Coturnix japonica: one gene and its partners. The protein of the gene in region 2 purifies or fractionates together with the protein of the main gene of each other region. This does not show direct contact. Links are inferred from orthologs where the notes say so. Each region holds a gene or a part of one and is shown on either strand. Other genes may lie near its edges. The genes, in order: AEBP2, EED and PHF19.

Region 1 (6,212 bases), about 110 Mb from region 2:
AAACCTGCAAGAAAGAGAAGGGAGAATTACCTTTTCTGACCTGATTGAACTGTGACCTAGAAATGTCAGTAACAAGAGAGCTAAGTCATCACTGCTACTTCTGCTTGATTCGGACTTTATCTCATCACTTTAGGGAGCTGACGGACCAAGCCTTCATGCAGGATTTTGTGGTTTCAAAGAACTGAAAGTAGGGCACTAAAGATCGTCAAAGTATTTCTTTGATGACTGCTGCAGTTCTCACCGCTGCGGCACTGATCTCCCGCTTTAAACGCTAAGTGATTGCCATTAGGCGGGGTCGTACCCTCTCTTCCTATGCACCCTATCCTAAGGTTTCACTCCCTCTCTCCGAATACACAAATTACCCAACGAGCCGGCGTCCCTACTGCTGTACTTAGGGAAGTGAGAAGTGTCTGCATCCCCGTCACCTCTCGGCGGACAGACACTGGGAACCCGGTGAGCGCACATGACCTCAAAGAACCCGAGAGTTCCGAAGAAAGCACAGAGCTACGGGCTTGTGAACACGGTGGGATGAATTCGGACAACACACACTGGGGAGCACGGAGTTCTTTGAGATACGTTTCCTCCTGCCTTTCTTTGCTCGTTCTCAGGTTGTGAAAGGTGCCTTTCACTTCGATCCGTTTAGATCTTTGTTTTCTAGTGATTCGGTCCCTTTCTGATTCTGCCCCTCGCTACAACCGATTTCAGTAAACTCCAGAGGGAAATCAGTTGCAGAAGAGGCAGCACAGCGATTTGCTTCAGATACTGCTGCCTTCTTTCTGAATCGAAAGGTTGTTTTTGTGTGTTTTTTTTTATACCTCGCTCTTCGTGCCTGATGAGATTAGTGACAGTAACACCCACGGGAGTGCCACACCTTTATAGGCTGAGAGGGAAGTACAGAGCACGCCGTTCCTTCGGGGGGGCTGGGGGAAGGGAGGAGGCAGAGGATGTAGAAGCTCAGGGTTCGATGATTGTTTCGATGGAGTCAGTAGAGCAGCGATGCTTACACTATGCGGATGAAGCAGCTTTACAGCCGTCCTCGTGTGTTTTACAGTATTCCTGCCATTTCTAGTGTGTAGCTGAGGCTTGTTTTGAGAAATCTGGAAAGCTATCGAGCATTTTTACTGCTGTTTGCCTCACAGATCGGCTTATGCTCCTCTGCAGGTTAAAGATGTCATTTGTTTGCTCTCAAAGACGAGTGCAACGTCACATCCCTTTGCTCCAAGGCTGCGGTGCTCCCGCAGCACTGTGGCATTCTGTGCTGGCATCGCTCACTGCAGGCTGCTGGTGTTGCTGCGAACAGATACATGCGTGCAGATTGATGGGCGGGCAGCCAGCCCTGCTTGTGCTGATGTAGGGCTCAGGAGCACCCTCCCCAGATTTTAATCCTCTGTGGCTAACTTTTCCTGTTCCTCTGTGGCAACGCTAGATGAGCCTGCTATGACTTGAGGAGGTGGTAGTCTTCCTGTTGCACAGAGAACAAAGTCTTTCTGGACTGAGCTGTGGTTTAGTTTTGTCATCCGCTCATAAGCCAAACCATCCCCAGTTCACGATTTTTTTCTTATTAAATTTGGCAAGTTCAGTAAAAAATTTCATCTCCATGTCTGGGAGGTGGAACTACATGATCCTTGAGGTCCCTTCCAACCCGGGTCATTCTGTGATTCTATGAGGTGGGTACTTCCCTGTTCTATGGAAAATCCCCATCCCACACGGATTGCTGATCATTTCCATGTGACAGTTCACTGAAGGTATTCTCCATGTCCGTACAGACAAGGCAAAATAAAGCACGATCTGCCTCGAGTAAACTTCATCCCCTTTTCTTCCAATATTAAAATGACTTTAATTGTCATTATTAATTTAATAGTTTTTTCTGAAGTCTCGTATGTGATTGGTGGTCGTTCTGCTCATCTTTCTCTCTTCCCCATCTATTCTTCTTCAGATGGCAACGTTCCCAACTCAGCCAATTTAGCAGCCCTCATTCCTCCAAACCCTGGCCTGAGTTTATGAGGAAAATATTAACCAACTGCCTCGGTTTTAGCACATTTAACTCAGGTTTTACTTCCACTTCGGGCAGTGACGTGCGTTTTGCATTCAGCCTTGGCCACGCCACAGCCTGGAAGCTTCTTACAGCCAACGGAGGTGTGAGGCCACACTTCAGACGCTCTCCTGATGCCAGTGCCACTGAAAACCTCCTTCTGTCCCATTGTGTCCCAGCCCAGCTCTCTCTTTTAGCGATTCACACAGGGCACACTCACACTCTGACCCACTCCTTGTGGAGGGGCCTCTCTCCCTTCCCCTGAGGAGACACGCCGTTCCTCCCATCTTGGCTCAGCGTTTCTCTTCACCCCTGATCCCGCTGCCGCCCCGTGACCGCGAGTGTCGCCTCAGAGGCGGTTCGGCGTTAACGGCCGCCTCGCACCCCCCGATCCCCGGTTCCCGGTTCCTCGTCCCGCGCTCCGCCTCGCGGAAGCTTTTTGTCCCCGGGCTCGTTCCGTAGCGCGTGCGGCGGTGGCGGTTCGTGCCCCTCCTCTTTGCGGCTCGCGCCGCCGCGCGATTGTGCGGCTGAGCGGGGCGAGGGCGGGGGGAGCGCGGCCGCGCGCACACACGAACCGGGGCACGCGCCTACCGGCCGCGCGCACGGCCCGGCTCGGCTCGATTCGGCCCCGTTCGGCTTCGGCTCGGCTCGCAGCGACTCGCAGGCGCCATGGCGGCCGCTCGCAGCGACATGGCGGAGCCGGAGGGGCTGCTTCCCGGCGAGGCGGCGGCCGCTGCGGCTGAGGAAGAGGAGGAGGCGGCGGCCGTTGCTGCGGTCGTCGCCGGGGTCGGCTCCTCGTCGTCGCCTCCGTCCTCGGCGGCGGAGACGGAGTCGCTGCTGCTGCTGAACGGCGAGGCGGAGAGCATGTCGGAGCCCAGCCCGGAGAGCGCCAGCCAGGCCGGGGACGGGGAGGACGAAGACGAGGAGGAGGAGGAGGAAGAGGAGGAGGAGGGCGGCGAGGAGGAGGAGAGCAGCCTGGTGGGCAGCAGCAGCACGAGCAGCGGCTGCTGCAGCGACGAGACCCGCTCGCTCAGCCCCGGCGGCAGCAGCGAGGCCGACGCCAAGGAGGAGCCCAAGGGCCCGCGGGGCGGCCAGGAGGGCGGGCTGGGCCGCGGCGGCGGCGGCGGCGGGAGCAGCTCCAGCAGCGTGTCCAGCGGCGGCGACGAGGGCTACGGCACCGGCGGCGGCGGCGGCAGCAGCGGCAGCAGCAGCTGCAGCGCCACGTCGGGGGGGCGGCGGGGCAGCCTGGAGATGTCCTCGGACGGGGAACCGCTGAGCCGCATGGACTCAGAGGACAGGTCAGTGCCCGGTGCGGGAGGCCCGCGGGCGCCATGTCCTGGGGCCTCGCCCCGCCCGAGGGCCGCGGGGCTGTCAGGCCGGCGGATGGGGGGCTGCGTGCTCCGGGCGGGGGCGGTCGGCCGCGCCGCGCCCTGGGGCCGCTCCGGTTCCGGAGGGATGCCGCTGCGATACCGTAGTCGTACCGCGCCTGCTGTGCCGTGGTCGCTCCGTACCTGCGGGTGTACGTGCTGCGGGCGGCGAGCTGAGGAAACCGCCGAACACAAGGGAAAAATCCCACCTTGCTGAAAGGAGCGAGGGAACGGCCCTTCGCCCGGGCTGAGCTGTGTTGTGGATGAAGCCGAGCCCAGCCGTGTGAGACTTAGTCATTTTTGGATGAATGGTTTAATGCCAAATGTGGATGATTTCTGTAGTTGCCGGCTTGAGGCTCGAGGGACGGCACAGCCCAGTTCCCAGGTCGCGTTTAGCACAGAGGTTGGGCACTTCTAGGAGCACGGCTTGCCTAGTGGTTTTCTTGGGGGTATGTAATACAGCCTAATGGAAAATAGGATGTGGGGGGAAAAAAGAGTGGAATTTGTCGGTTCTTTTACTGCTAAGTGCTTCAGAATAGTTTTAGAAACTTCTTTTATTCTTTGCCTTTTTAGGTTTGGCTTTAAGAAAGCCTTGGGCTTTGCGGTAGTTGGTACAAAAATAATAATTGTTCCTTTTTTGAAGATAGTTTTGCTATTGAGCGTAAAGATGATCAGTTTTGGTCCAGGTTACATGCTTTGTTGATGTGTTAGGTTAAATTTGAGTAGATGGGGAAACGCCCGTGTTGCAGGAGCGTGGCATTTCTAGGTCCAGCCTCACGTGTTAAATGAAACCCTCGTGAGTCAGTTCCCCAAACCATGTGCTGGGTCTGAAAGTCTTAGGAAAAATTAAAAACGAATTTTAAATCCATGCTTTTCATTTCCTCCTGACTTCTGAGTCTTGAGGACTTGGGGGATTTTTTTCGTTCCTTCAGACTTGCTGTGAAATAAGAAGGTGGCGAGTTTTTCTTTCTTTTTCTTTCTTTCTCTCTGTTTTCACGTGGATTTTTACATGAAATCACATAAGTGTGGGAGTAGATTTCTGGGGAAACAACAGGTATGTGGTGGAGGTTTAGGGTCGTCACTTCTTGTTTTCTACCAAATGAAACTCTGCACTGCAGCTTGATCTCTTGTGAGTCTGTCTCAATTTGTAGGTTAAGGAAATAACAGGAATCAGTTACAGGGGTTTTCTGACAGTGCAGCCCCGTTACGTCTTGCTCACACACTTCAGAGCTGCTGTACTAGTTTCTTTCTCTGTCATTGTTTGCAGGCTCCTCTTGTTATAGTGGCACAAATCAAATCTGTGTGTGCTCTTCGTTGCTCCTTTCCAGTACCTTTGGAGCAGAGTCAGTTGCAGGAGCCTTTTGTGTTCAGTAGTTTTAAATTAGGACTGTGTTTTTGGTTTTTATCTTGCAAAGGTTTTGTCTTCAGTGGCCACGCTGAAAACGTAGAGATACTGAGAAGCAATTTTGTATGGTAATTTCATAGCCTGCTGCTTGAGTTGAGTAGGAAAAGAACCACGCCACGCAAAGTGCCATTTGTTATTTCTGGTGATAGAAAAGCTCATTTTGATGACATTCCTTGCTGCCTTGGGGTAGACAGCAAAAACAGTGATGCTACACGTAGTCCAACAGGTCCCTTGGCCTATCAGTGGAAATTATTGCTGCCCCTTAGAAGCCAGCTGGAACATGATGTGCGTCCTTAGGGTGATCAGCTGGGCAGGCAGTTGCCAGTGGTAGGGGAGGCATGGAAAAGCCTCAAGAGTGTTCACAATGGGATGGTAGAGTACCTGGGAGAACCTGGGAGCAGGTCAGATTTACACGATGTAACTATGACAGATTGATATCTGCTCAGCGATGTTCTCTGTAAAACAGTATCTTGTACAGCACTCTGATGTCTACTTTCTGCCTGTGTCCTGAATGGAGACTCCAGTTTTGTCACCGAAGACCTAAGGAAGTTGACATCGACTTGTCTTGTGGACTGTTGTGTGGTAAAATGACCTCTGAGTGAAGAAATGATCTGCTGTGCTTCAGTTCTTATTCTTTGGTTAAACAAGAGGAAGGTGTTAAAAAGGTGAACTCCGTAACGATTCTCCTGTTGTAGGCAGGTTTGCTAACATTCAGATTATGCCCTGAGGCTTGGGATTTTTTTCTTGTTTCCTCTTTAGCAAATTTGAATAAATAAGAGGGTGTGGTGAAGGCCTGGAATTCCTTAAGTGATCGAATTCCTCTTTTGCTACGATCTTTATCATCGTTGTCTGATTTCAATGTATTGTCTGTCTCGTTTTGGTTTAGCGTTGCGAACTGCGATGTAAACTGCAGATGTGACATTTGAGCATGAGAATCTTGCATGCAATCAAGACATGACTACTGTTCAGCTACTTCTAATACTAATGCTTTGATTCTGTTTTGAGAGATCTGCTAATCAAAGAGAATAAATAATTTGGAGCGTGACAGTAGGAAATCCGTAGGTATTTGAAACAAAACCAAAAATAAATCTGATGTTGAATATTGATGCCTAAAACTTGAGCTGAATTTTGGTCAGCTGTTTTTAAATGCAAGTTCACTTGGTACTGCATTTCCAACAGGTCACATTCCTCTCCACACCTTCCCCCCCACCCCAAAATAAAATGACCCAAGAACAGAAACAAAAAAAGCCAACCCCACACCGGTATTTAGAACAGCCAGGTGGCGTTTTCTGCTCAGTGGTATTAGTAATGAGAGCTCAGTGCAAAGTCTGGAATGACTGCAGATACCCATTGCATTTTATTCCAGGGATTGGAGCTGTGTTCCCACTGCTGTGCTAAAGCTTGCCCA
Region 2 (6,280 bases):
TCCTGAAAACATTCCAATTACACAGATTGAAATGAAGATGTAATTAACTGATAGATAAAATCATCAGCTAACTGCAGCACTTGGCCCTTTCACTTTCCTCTTCCTCCTCCACAAGAACAAAAGATCCCCCAGGACTTGATTTTTATTTAGCTTCACATACTTAAACCTGTTACTAACATAATAGCATTTCTCCCTGGAAACAGAACATGAGTCACACAAGGACTAACCCAAAAGGGTCATATGTGAACTGTGATACAGTGAAACTTCTTTGGAATACAGGAAGCTCTTCTTAAGAAATATCTGAATACAAAGTAATTGCCTTCCTAGAAAGTATCTTTGACATACACGGAATGAATACTTCTGAACTAATGAATCAAGACAATGTTTGTTTAAAAACATATTTACCCATGTCAGGAATCTAACCTCTCTTGAAGTCCTCTGTAGGCCCTCAGCAGCATCAGGAATAGCACAGTTCTGCAATAAGTCAGCAGTGCCACTGGAAGAGGAACTTTCACCCCTTCCTCCCACTCTTTCTAACTGATTCTCATCTCCAGTAGTGCAAGACAGGTTTGGGAACCATAATATAAGGACACAAAACTATTAGGAGGGCTATGGGGAGTAAACCCACAGGAAAACGTTCAGCTTATTAAATTAACTAACTTTTTCTCCCAACAAACTCATTTCACAGCCACATGATGACAAGACCCAAATTTGGGGAGACAGAGGCAGACAACAAACAGCCTGTCATTGCAAGACATGAAGTATAACAGGAAGCTGCATCACAAACTCCGCTAGGAATATGGACTAAGGTCAGTCATTTCCTTCATACCGCATCCTAGCAAAGCTAACTTCCCCCTAATAAGCATAACCAGGTTTTGCAATCTTTACATTTAGCTATTTCTTTTCCTTTACCCTAAGCAGTTTCAGAGCCTGCCAAACACTGGTCTCCTAAGAGCACTTGCTGTCAAGAGTCATAATACTTCACAGAACTGAAGCTTCCTCTGGACTAATCAGATGCAGTCAATACAAGAACACATTATATTGGTATAACAAAATACAACCACGTAACTACAACTAAAACATGACCAACAAACATGCCTTCAGGATACCTGTGGAGTACCTGGGGAGGTGCTGGCACTGCTGCCCAGAGAAGCTGTGGATGCCCCATCCTTGGAGGTGATCAAGGCGAGGCTGGATGGGGCTCTGGGCAGCCTGATCTAGAGCATGATTTAGTGGTTGGCAACCCTGACCATGGCAGAAGGGTTGGAACAAGATGATTTTGAGGGCCCTTCCTACCTAACTACTCTATGATTCCATGAAAAAAGAGACTTCTTGCAAATCAACACTGTTACGTCCACTTTTAAGGAGAATCCAGGCCTTTCAGGAGCAACAAAGCTCATAACAAAGTTTTAGAAGGAGACTTTCCACCTTTGAGACAGCCTATAACAGACACCAAAGCAAACCTGAGAGCCTCTGTCACCACATCACACCCAGATTCACAAATCATTAAGGATTGTTCAGCCTGGAGAAGAGGAGGCTCAAGGGAGACCTTATAGCTCTCTGTAACTTCCTGAAGGGAGGCTGCAGTGAGCTGGGGGTTGGCCTCTTCTCTCATGTAATCGGTGATAGAACTAGAGGGAATGGTTTTAAGCTGCGTCAGGGGAGAATCAGGCTGGACATTAGGAAGTATTACTTTTCAGAAAGAGTAGTCAGGCATTGGAATGCACTGCCCAGGGAGGTGGTGGAGTCACCGACCATGGGAGTGTTCAAGAAACGCTTGGATGTGGTGCTGAGGAATATGATTTAGCCTGGAAGTATTGGTAATGGTTGGACTAGATGATCTTCTAGGTCTTTTCCAACCTTGATAATTCTGTGATTCTGTTAGAAAAATCATTTAAGATCATCTAGTTCAACTATCAACCCACCACCACCATGCCCACTAACCACATCCTTCGGTGCCGCATCTACTCTTTTTGAAAACCTTGAGGGACAGTGACTCCATGACCTCCTTGGGCAGCCTGTGCCAAACACCGAAACAATCCCTAACACACAGTTACCACACAGCCCCTCCTTCCTTCTCTATCCCTTCCGATGACCTTAATGTTCTGCAGAAGCTGAATGACAAACGTGTGGCCTGCATGTCCAGTGATGTTCAGTGAATAAGGCCCAGCAGCAGTGGCACGCAGCACCTCAACAGCAGCTGCTCTTGCACAGGTTATGGGCAATGTGCTCCAACGCCCATACTGAGTGCTCTAACCAAGAAAGACACCATGCAGAACTCCTATGTCATTAACTCCCCCAGTTCACCAACTGCATAAACCGACTACCAGATTGCTCAGACGATCACACAGAATCACAGAATTGTAGGGGTTGGAAGGAAACTCTAGAGATCATCGAGTCCAACCCCTCTGCCAAAGCAGGCTCCCTACACCATGTCACACAGGTAGGCATCCAGGCGCGTCTTAAATATCTCCAGAGAAGGAGACTCCACCACCTCCCTGGGCAGCCTGTTCCAGTGCTCCGTCACCCTCACTGTAAAGAAGTTCTTGCGCACATTCATGCGGAACTTCCTATGCTGTACTTTCATACCATTACCCCTAGTCCTATCCCCACGCACTGCTGAAAAGAGACCAGACTCACCACTATGGCTCCCACACCTCAGGTATTTATAAACCTGGATCAAATCCCCTCTCAGCCTTTGTTTCTCAAGGCTAAACAGACCCAGTTCCCTATGTCTCTCCTCATAGGGGAGATGCTCCAGGCCCTTCACCATCTTAGTGGCCCTCCGCTGGACTCTTTCCAAGAGTTCCCTGTCTTTTTTGTACTGGGGAGCCCAGAACTGGACATAATATTCCAGATGAGGCCTCACCAGGGCAGAGTAGAGGGAGAGGATCACCTCCTTCGACCTGCTGGACACGCTCTTTTTAATACACCCCAGTATGCCATTGGCTTTTTTGGCTACAAGGGCACACTGTTGGCTCATGCTCAATCTGTCGTCCACCAGGACGCCCAGGTCCCTCTCAGCAGAGCTCCTCTCCAGCAGGTCTTCCCCCAGCCTGTACTGGTGCATGCAATTATTTCTACCCAAGTGCTAGACTCTACACTTACTTTTGTTAAACCTCATCCGGTTTCTTACTGCCCAGCTCTCCAGCCTGTCCAGGTCTCGCTGAATGGCAGCACAGCCTTCAGGCGTGTCAGCCAATCCTCCCAACTTCGTGTCATCAGCAAACTTGCTGAGGGTGGTCACTATCCCCTCATCAAGGTCGCTGATGAAGATGTTGAACAAGACCAGACTCAGTACAGACCCAAATCAGTTGATCTTTTCAGCTGTTAAGTTACTTGGAATCAATCTCACGACCTTTGGTTTAAATACTCTGATTTAGTGCAGTTGAGAGGTAACAGCCTTCATCCCTTACAGCCAATTCCTGCTGACAGCAACTTATGAGCACACAAGTGCATGGAACCTGCTTTAGCAGAGGGGTCGGACTGGATGGTTTCCAAAGGATCCTTCCAACCCCTACAACGTTGTGATTCCCCCCTATTCCTTCATTTCCCCAAAACTCTGTGTGCACAAATTAACACCGAGCAACGTGTTAATGAACACCCCACACCGAGGCAGCGATGAAAAACGACAGATATACCTAAAATACAGATTTTTGCTCGCTACATCGCAATAAAAACCACTTAAAAAGTGACATTGAAAACCGCTCACACCTCAGGGCCTCCAATTCTCCCTCACGCACGCGGGGTAAAGCGCGGCCCCTCTGCCTCATGCTCCCGCCTCGCCACCGCCACCTTCCCGCTTACACCCCAACTCAGCCTCACGTTCTCATCTCCAGACAGATCCCCGGGGTTGCTGTTCTCATCGCTGCTCAGCTTTTGCTTCTTAGCCGGCATCTCTCCCGTCGATGCAGCCGCCGCCGCCGGGGTTTCTCCCCGCTCAGACATCTTCCCCGCCCACCGCCCACCGCCCACCGCCACGCAGCCGTAAAGCGCGGCAGGGGGGGCGTCGCAATGCTTTGCCGTAAAGCAGCACCGCGCTTGGCTGCCCCTCAGCTGCCACACTGCTGAAAAATCCGCCTTCCCGCGTCGCGCGGGCGGTGTCGCCCATCTATTAACTCAACTATTAATTACTCTTATTATTATTATTATTTATAATCGAATGTATGAACATAATAAAGCATAATGACACTTTATACCGTTATCTGTGGCCTGGACCAGCACTTTCGAGCACGTTCGTGGCATATAAAGTAGCCCGAGGTTCTGGTTACCACAGCTCCTGTGTCCTGTGAGGAGCACAAAGTTCCTCATCCACAAAGTCGTTTTTGGTTCTTTTGCTCTCCAAAATGCTCTATAGAGAAATGAGGTGTCTGTTCCCTGCCCTGTCACCCAGGCAGGGCTGGAATGAGGGGGAAAAAAAAGTACTTTCATCTAAAAAATGCTGTTGGGAGAGAAGAAAAAATGGCCTGTTTCAATGCCCCATGGCAAGTTCCTACCACTTGCAGATTGTAAATTAAATACTGCAGTTGCCAGATGATGATTTATTTCTTTATTTATTTTCCTAAAATCACATGTCCCAGAGTCATAATAATAACGAACAGTGGAAAAACAAACAAAAAACAAACAAAAATAAACCAAAAAATAAACAAAAAAATAAAAACAAAAACAAAACCTATATATAAACATATATATATATATATGTATGTATGTATATATATATATCTGATAAATAGGGGAAGTAATCTGCCCGCAGGCACAGTGCCTTATCTGCTTCTCTCAGAGAAGAAAAACCAAAGCTTTCCTCCCTGGAGGAGGCATTCCAGCCTTGCAAAGTGATTTCTTGGAGGGCAGTGACAGAAGTGAACCTTGCCTTTGTATCTACAATTTAATCTGGCATGAACTTCAGAGATAAGGGGGAGGAGAGGTGCTTAAGCTGGTGTGTGTACTGTAGTGTTTTTAGCAATAGTCCCTCCTGTAGGCTCCACTGGTGCAGTGTATAATACAGACCAAAAGGCTGTAGATCACAATTAATAAAAGCTCTGGGAACTTGCAGCTGCCCAAATTCATGCACTAAGATCAAGGCTGTGATAAAAGCGTTTTACACCTTTGTGAGGACATACACGGAGAATGAACTGACTTGTTCTTAAAATATGACGGGATATTTTTAGATTGGCATCTTAATTAAGACTAAATCACGACTGTGATTTAGAAATGAAGGGCGGGCACGGAGTTTTCAGCAGTGAGTGTTCTTAACTTCTCATCACGGATGACCTTGAGCTAATGGAGAGAAGACAGCTCCCCTTCATTTTGCAGCTGTCACCTGACATCCTCCAGATGGCCAGCTACACATTCAGCTCCTCCACGTTTCACTAGCTCATCCCAAACACAAGGAAAGTGAGGGCCCCAGTCAGGCTGTGCTTCTTGGCCTGCACACAGGAAGATTTCCCACCCACACCAGAATCAGTCAGCAAAACCCTTCAGTCTCCATCATCAACTTGCTGGGCCAAACTGGTCTTTGCCTTCCCTTGTTTGATTTTCTGGAGGACTTCTTTCTCAACATGACAGACCTCATGCTCCCTCTGTCTAGTTCTTAGTCCAAACCACTTGCCTTTCCAATTTCAGAAGATATGAAGGGCCAGTACACCAGGGAAGATGAGTTTCCAACAGTCATAGTACACTTCATCCAGCTTCTATTTAAAGAATTGGTTTGTGGTTAAATACTGGCTTGAAAGCTCAGAGGGTTGGCTTCAGTTTGTGCTCTGATGAAGTTCATAAGACAAGAAAAGCCCCCCTTTAGATACTGAAAGCCCACTCTCAGATCTCCCTGGAGCCTTCTTTCTCCAGGCTGAACTGCCCAGCTCTCTCAGCCTGTCCTCATAGGAGAGGTGTTCTATCCCTTGGATCATTTTTGTGCCCCTCCTCTGGATGCGCTACAACAGCTCCATGACTCTCCTGTACTGAGGATTCCACATCTGGACACAGTACTCCAGGTGAGGTCTCACCGGCACAGAGCAGAGGGTCAGGATCATCTCCCTTATCCTACTGGCCCCATTTCTTTTGATGCAGCCCAGGATACAGTTGGCTTTCTGGGCTGTAAGGGTAGATTGCTAGCTCATGTCCAGCTTGCCATCCATCAGAACCCCCAAGGGCTTATTGGCATGGCTGTGCTCTGTCCCTACATCTCCCAGTTTATGCTGATAGTGGAGGTTGCCATGACCCAGGTGCAGACATTGCACTTGGATTTGTTGAATCTCATGATGTTCTCCTGGGCCCACTGCTT
Region 3 (4,041 bases), on a different chromosome or scaffold from region 2:
GGGTCAGCTCCGTGTTTGGGTTTCCATTCACTATTCCTTGCCTCTGATGATGAGCCAACTCACAACCCCTCCTCCCGATCCTGTTTGCAAAGGAAATAAAGTGTGGGGAAAAGCTCCTGCCAGAGCTCCATTGGAAGGACAGCGTGGGAGCCCTCAGCTCCCTGCTCCATGGGCACAGGCTGTGGGGAGAGGCCTTGGGGGCAGCGTGGGGCTGTGGGACAATGTGCTACAGAGGTTTTGTGCAAACCACTTTGCAGGGGCTGCATCAGAAATGCAATGACAGTGAAGGAACCCCGTGGTCAGCGCTGTTCAAACAAGCCCAGAGGGCACTGCCACTGTGGGGTGCTCCCATCAGTGACATTGTCCCCACTCATTAGCAGTGTTTGGGCATCACCCAGTGCCCGGCTGACCTCTCACATCACCCACACCTCCATGGCCAACGATCCGGGGGCTGCACTCACAACCACAATGGTTGAGGAGGAGCACGGAGAGCACTGCTGTCCCAGCACCACAACCTCATGCCCAGACCGGCTGCCTGTGAGCCAGAGCAGAGCTGCAAAGTGCAGCAGTGTTTGCCCACAAGCAAAGTTCTGGTTCAGGAGTTATTTTAATCCCGTGGTGACTCACGGCTGCACACGGTGACTCACCGCAGGGCTCCGCCGTGGGGCGCCTGGAAGATGTGTCAGGTTCTCTGTGCAGGATGGGGCTGCAGGCAGCAGGAAGGAGCTGTCAGGTTTTGGCTGCCTATGGGCTCTGCTAACATGGCCTGAACACGGGGAGCTGGGAGGAGGCACAGCACGGCTCAGCACGGCATGGCACGGCACAATATGGCACTGCACAGCACAGCGTGGTGCTGCATGGTCTCTGACCCCTACAACGGCAACCCAAGACTATTTGGACCATTCCTTTTGATTATTTGGATCTCTCAGGAAATCCCACGCAGGGTTTTGGGTGCTGTGCTGCACGTGCTGCATTTGCCGTTGTCACGGCTGCCGGAGCGCTCCCATCCAGGAGCTTTGAAATGCAATGAATCACCCCAAAATGCAATGAATCACCCCAAAATGCAATGAATCACCCCAAAATGCAATGAATCACCCTGAAACCCGCACTTTGCCCTCCCCGCTCCCCGCTCTCACTCCCCGCAGAGGCAGTCGGCGGCCCCACGTGTTTCTCGAGCCCGTGCAAAGCCGCCCGCAGCGCAGCGCGATGCCAGCGGTTCTGGGAGGCTCCGCTTTGCAAAAGGGAACGACGACGAAACTCGTCCGAAGAGCTCAGAGCCCCGCTGCTGCCTCCGAGAGGTGACTTCAACACCGATGCTCCTGGAGCGGCTCCACTCGCTCCGCTGCCCCGCAGGTGCGCGACGATCGTCGGTTGCGGGGAAGCGCTGAGCGGGGCGACGGGACGAGCAGGGAGCGCTGAGCTCCGACCCCGAGCAGGCCTGGAAACGGCTCTTTATTTTGGCAGCGCTCTTCGCAAATAACCAACCCCGTTTCCTCCTGCTCGGCGCCGCCCGCAGCGCTTCGTGCACCGACGGATTTGGGTGGTTGGTTGTTGGATTTGTTTTTTTTTTTCTCTTTGGATTCGGAGAAAAACGATCCCACGTTCCCGGAATCCCGGAGAGCGGCAGCACGGGCCGTTCCTTGGCGCGGGGCCGGGCGGCGTCTGGGGCATCCCGGGATGCTCCGTGCCGTTCCGAGCCGTTCCGAGCCGTTCCGTGCCGCTCCGCTCGGAGCTCCGGGAGGCGGCCCCGCTCTAATTGCATAAGCGGGACGTCAATGCCCGCGGGAAGAGCGGGAAGATGGCGCCCCGCGCCCTGCCCCCGCCGCGCTCCGCCGCGCCCCGCTGCTGCCCCGGCGGCCCCCGAGCGGGCGGGCGCTGAGCCGGCCCCGTTGTCGGCAGAGCGGCGGAGGAGCGGCACCGAGCGGTGAGCGCGGCTCGAGCGGCCGGGGGGCGGCGGGGCCGGGCGGGACGGAACGAGGACGGGACGGAGCGGCGCCGCAGCGCCTTTGAATGAACCAATGGCGGAGGGTCTCAGGGCTGCGGGGCCGCTCCCGCCCGGCAGGTGCCGCCGCTCCCGGTGTCGGTGTCGGTGAGGTCCCGGGGCGGCTCTGCGGGCTGCGGGTTCCCGGAGCGCTCCCCGCTGCGCTGCTCGTCACCTCCCGGCGCGGCGGCGCTGAGCTCCGTGCGGTGCCGCGCGGTTCTGCCCGGTGCGGTCGGTTCCGTCCGGTACGGCGCTGTCCCGGAGTTGGGCGGCGGCCCCGCGGGGCTCATCCCGGGCAGCGCGGCGGTACGAGCGGCGCTCGGATCGCTTCGACCCCGCACGGAGCCCCGAGGGGGGAAAGTGCCGTCGGGGCGGTGCTGTCAGCAGCCGGGGCTCCGTCCCGCGCTCGGAGCACGCAGCAGCGGCGAAACGCGGCCGCTCGGTTTCACCCGCTTCTGCCCGCGCCGCTCCCCGCTCCCCCAGCGCTCCCGATGGCAAAAACGCGGAAGGAAACGGACAACTCGACTTGGCGATCGATTTAAAGCTGCCGATGCCGAGAGCGTCCGGGCCAACCCCGTACCTACGGAGCGGGCGCCTCGCTCGGCCCGAGGGCGCATCGCGCTGCTGCTGATGGGCGACCGGCTCCGTCCCCGCAGGTTCTGCTGATGGAGAACGGGACGCTGAGCTCCATCACCCGGGACGTGCACGGAGCCGCCGGGCGCAGGGGCGGCAGCTGCAGGGAGCTGAGCGAGGGGCAGTACGTGCTGTGCCGCTGGACCGATGGGCTGTACTACCTGGGGAAGATCAAAAGGGTAAAGGGGGCATCCGGAAGGGTAAATGGGCATCCAAAAGGGTAAGAAGGAATCCAGATGGCTAAGGTGGGCATCTAGAAGGGTAAAGTTGGCACAAAGAAGGGTAAAGAGGGAATTCAGAAGGGTAAGAGGGCATCCAAAGTGCACCTGGTGCAGGTGCTGTTCCCTGGGTCAGCTCACAGCATGCTGGTCTGTGCCTTGAAGTGACTGTGGTCTTTGGAGTGATGGGGATTGATGTCTTAGCTGGGTATCCACCCTGAAACCCACCTTCCAGCAGCTCTGAGAGATGGGGAAAATGGCACCAGGGAAAGAGGAGAGTGCAGGCAGTAGGAGCAGTCATTCATTGGTTCTTTGTGCTGTGTCCCTGCAGGTGAGCGGCTCCAAGCAGAGCTGCCTGGTGACGTTTGAGGACAACTCCAAGTACTGGGTCCTCTGGAAGGACATCCAGCATGGTGAGTGCCAGCCCGTCGTGCCCTGCTTGCTGCTCCCTGGGAGCCCATGTGCCACGGGCAGCACTGTGGGGCCATCACTGCTTTCTCCATCCTCAAGCCGGCGTCCCTGGGGAGGAACCCAAGTGCAGCATTTGCCTGGGAAAGACATCAGGGCCCAGGAATGAAATCCTCATCTGTGGGAAGTGCGGCCTGGGTGAGTGCAGACACAGGGCTCCGTGTCCTGCTGCGTCCTGCTTGTGTCCAGCCAGCTCGGTGATGCTGACCCTGAGCTGTCCCATAGGTTACCATCAGCAGTGCCATGTCCCAGTGGCAAGTAGCAGTGAGGGCCCGCTGGGGACACCTTGGTTCTGCCGCCGCTGCATCTTTGCCCTGGCTGTGCGGGTGAGTGGGGCTGTGGGGTGCTGCGATATGGGCTGTGGTCTCAGTGCTGACCCTGTCCGGCTGGCTCCCACAGAAGGGGGGTGCCCTGAAGAAGGGAGCTATTGCCAGGACACTTCAAGCCGTCAAGATGGTGCTGTCCTACAACCCCGACCTGCTGGAGTGGGACTCTCCGCACCGCACCAACCAACAGCAGTGCTACTGCTACTGCGGGGGTCCTGGCGAGTAAGCAGTGCCTTGCTGAGGGGCTGTTCTGTCCTGTTTTATGGGTGATTTTCTTCCAAGAGAGAGTCTCTGCTTGCAGGGTCATTCTCTGGGGCTGGTGGCTCTGCTGCCTGCTCTGTCCTGCACTGTCTGCATGCAGCTCCTTGCCAAGGAGGGCTCATTCCTGGCTGGGGCGGCTCACACTGCCCTCCCT

The links.
Region 1: the proteins of EED (region 2) and AEBP2 purify together in Homo sapiens (affinity purification with mass spectrometry; 6 studies listed by BioGRID and IntAct, counting the BioPlex papers as one, with this or other methods). This does not show direct contact. The link is inferred for Coturnix japonica from reciprocal best matches to the Homo sapiens genes EED and AEBP2.
Region 3: the proteins of EED (region 2) and PHF19 purify together in Homo sapiens (affinity purification with mass spectrometry; 8 studies listed by BioGRID and IntAct, counting the BioPlex papers as one, with this or other methods). This does not show direct contact. The link is inferred for Coturnix japonica from reciprocal best matches to the Homo sapiens genes EED and PHF19.

Annotation. Positions count from the first base shown.
Region 1 is NC_029516.1:59,162,831-59,169,042, forward strand, and holds the start of AEBP2 (zinc finger protein AEBP2), read left to right. Parts: upstream 1-2,555; 5' UTR 2,556-2,701; coding exon 2,702-3,330; intron 3,331-6,212. UniProt on the Homo sapiens protein: Acts as an accessory subunit for the core Polycomb repressive complex 2 (PRC2), which mediates histone H3K27 (H3K27me3) trimethylation on chromatin leading to transcriptional repression of the affected target gene.
Region 2 is NC_029516.1:170,393,637-170,399,916, reverse strand, and holds the start of EED (polycomb protein EED), read right to left. Parts: upstream 3,973-6,280; 5' UTR 3,949-3,972; coding exon 3,826-3,948; intron 3-3,825; coding exon 1-2. UniProt on the Homo sapiens protein: Polycomb group (PcG) protein. Component of the PRC2/EED-EZH2 complex, which methylates 'Lys-9' and 'Lys-27' of histone H3, leading to transcriptional repression of the affected target gene.
Region 3 is NC_029532.1:6,771,709-6,775,749, reverse strand, and holds the start of PHF19 (PHD finger protein 19), read left to right. Parts: upstream 1-1,241; 5' UTR 1,242-1,353; intron 1,354-1,805; exon of another isoform or gene 1,806-1,924; intron 1,925-1,942; exon of another isoform or gene 1,943-2,637; 5' UTR 2,638-2,646; coding exon 2,647-2,793; intron 2,794-3,163; coding exon 3,164-3,245; intron 3,246-3,342; coding exon 3,343-3,438; intron 3,439-3,525; coding exon 3,526-3,626; intron 3,627-3,699; coding exon 3,700-3,848; intron 3,849-4,041.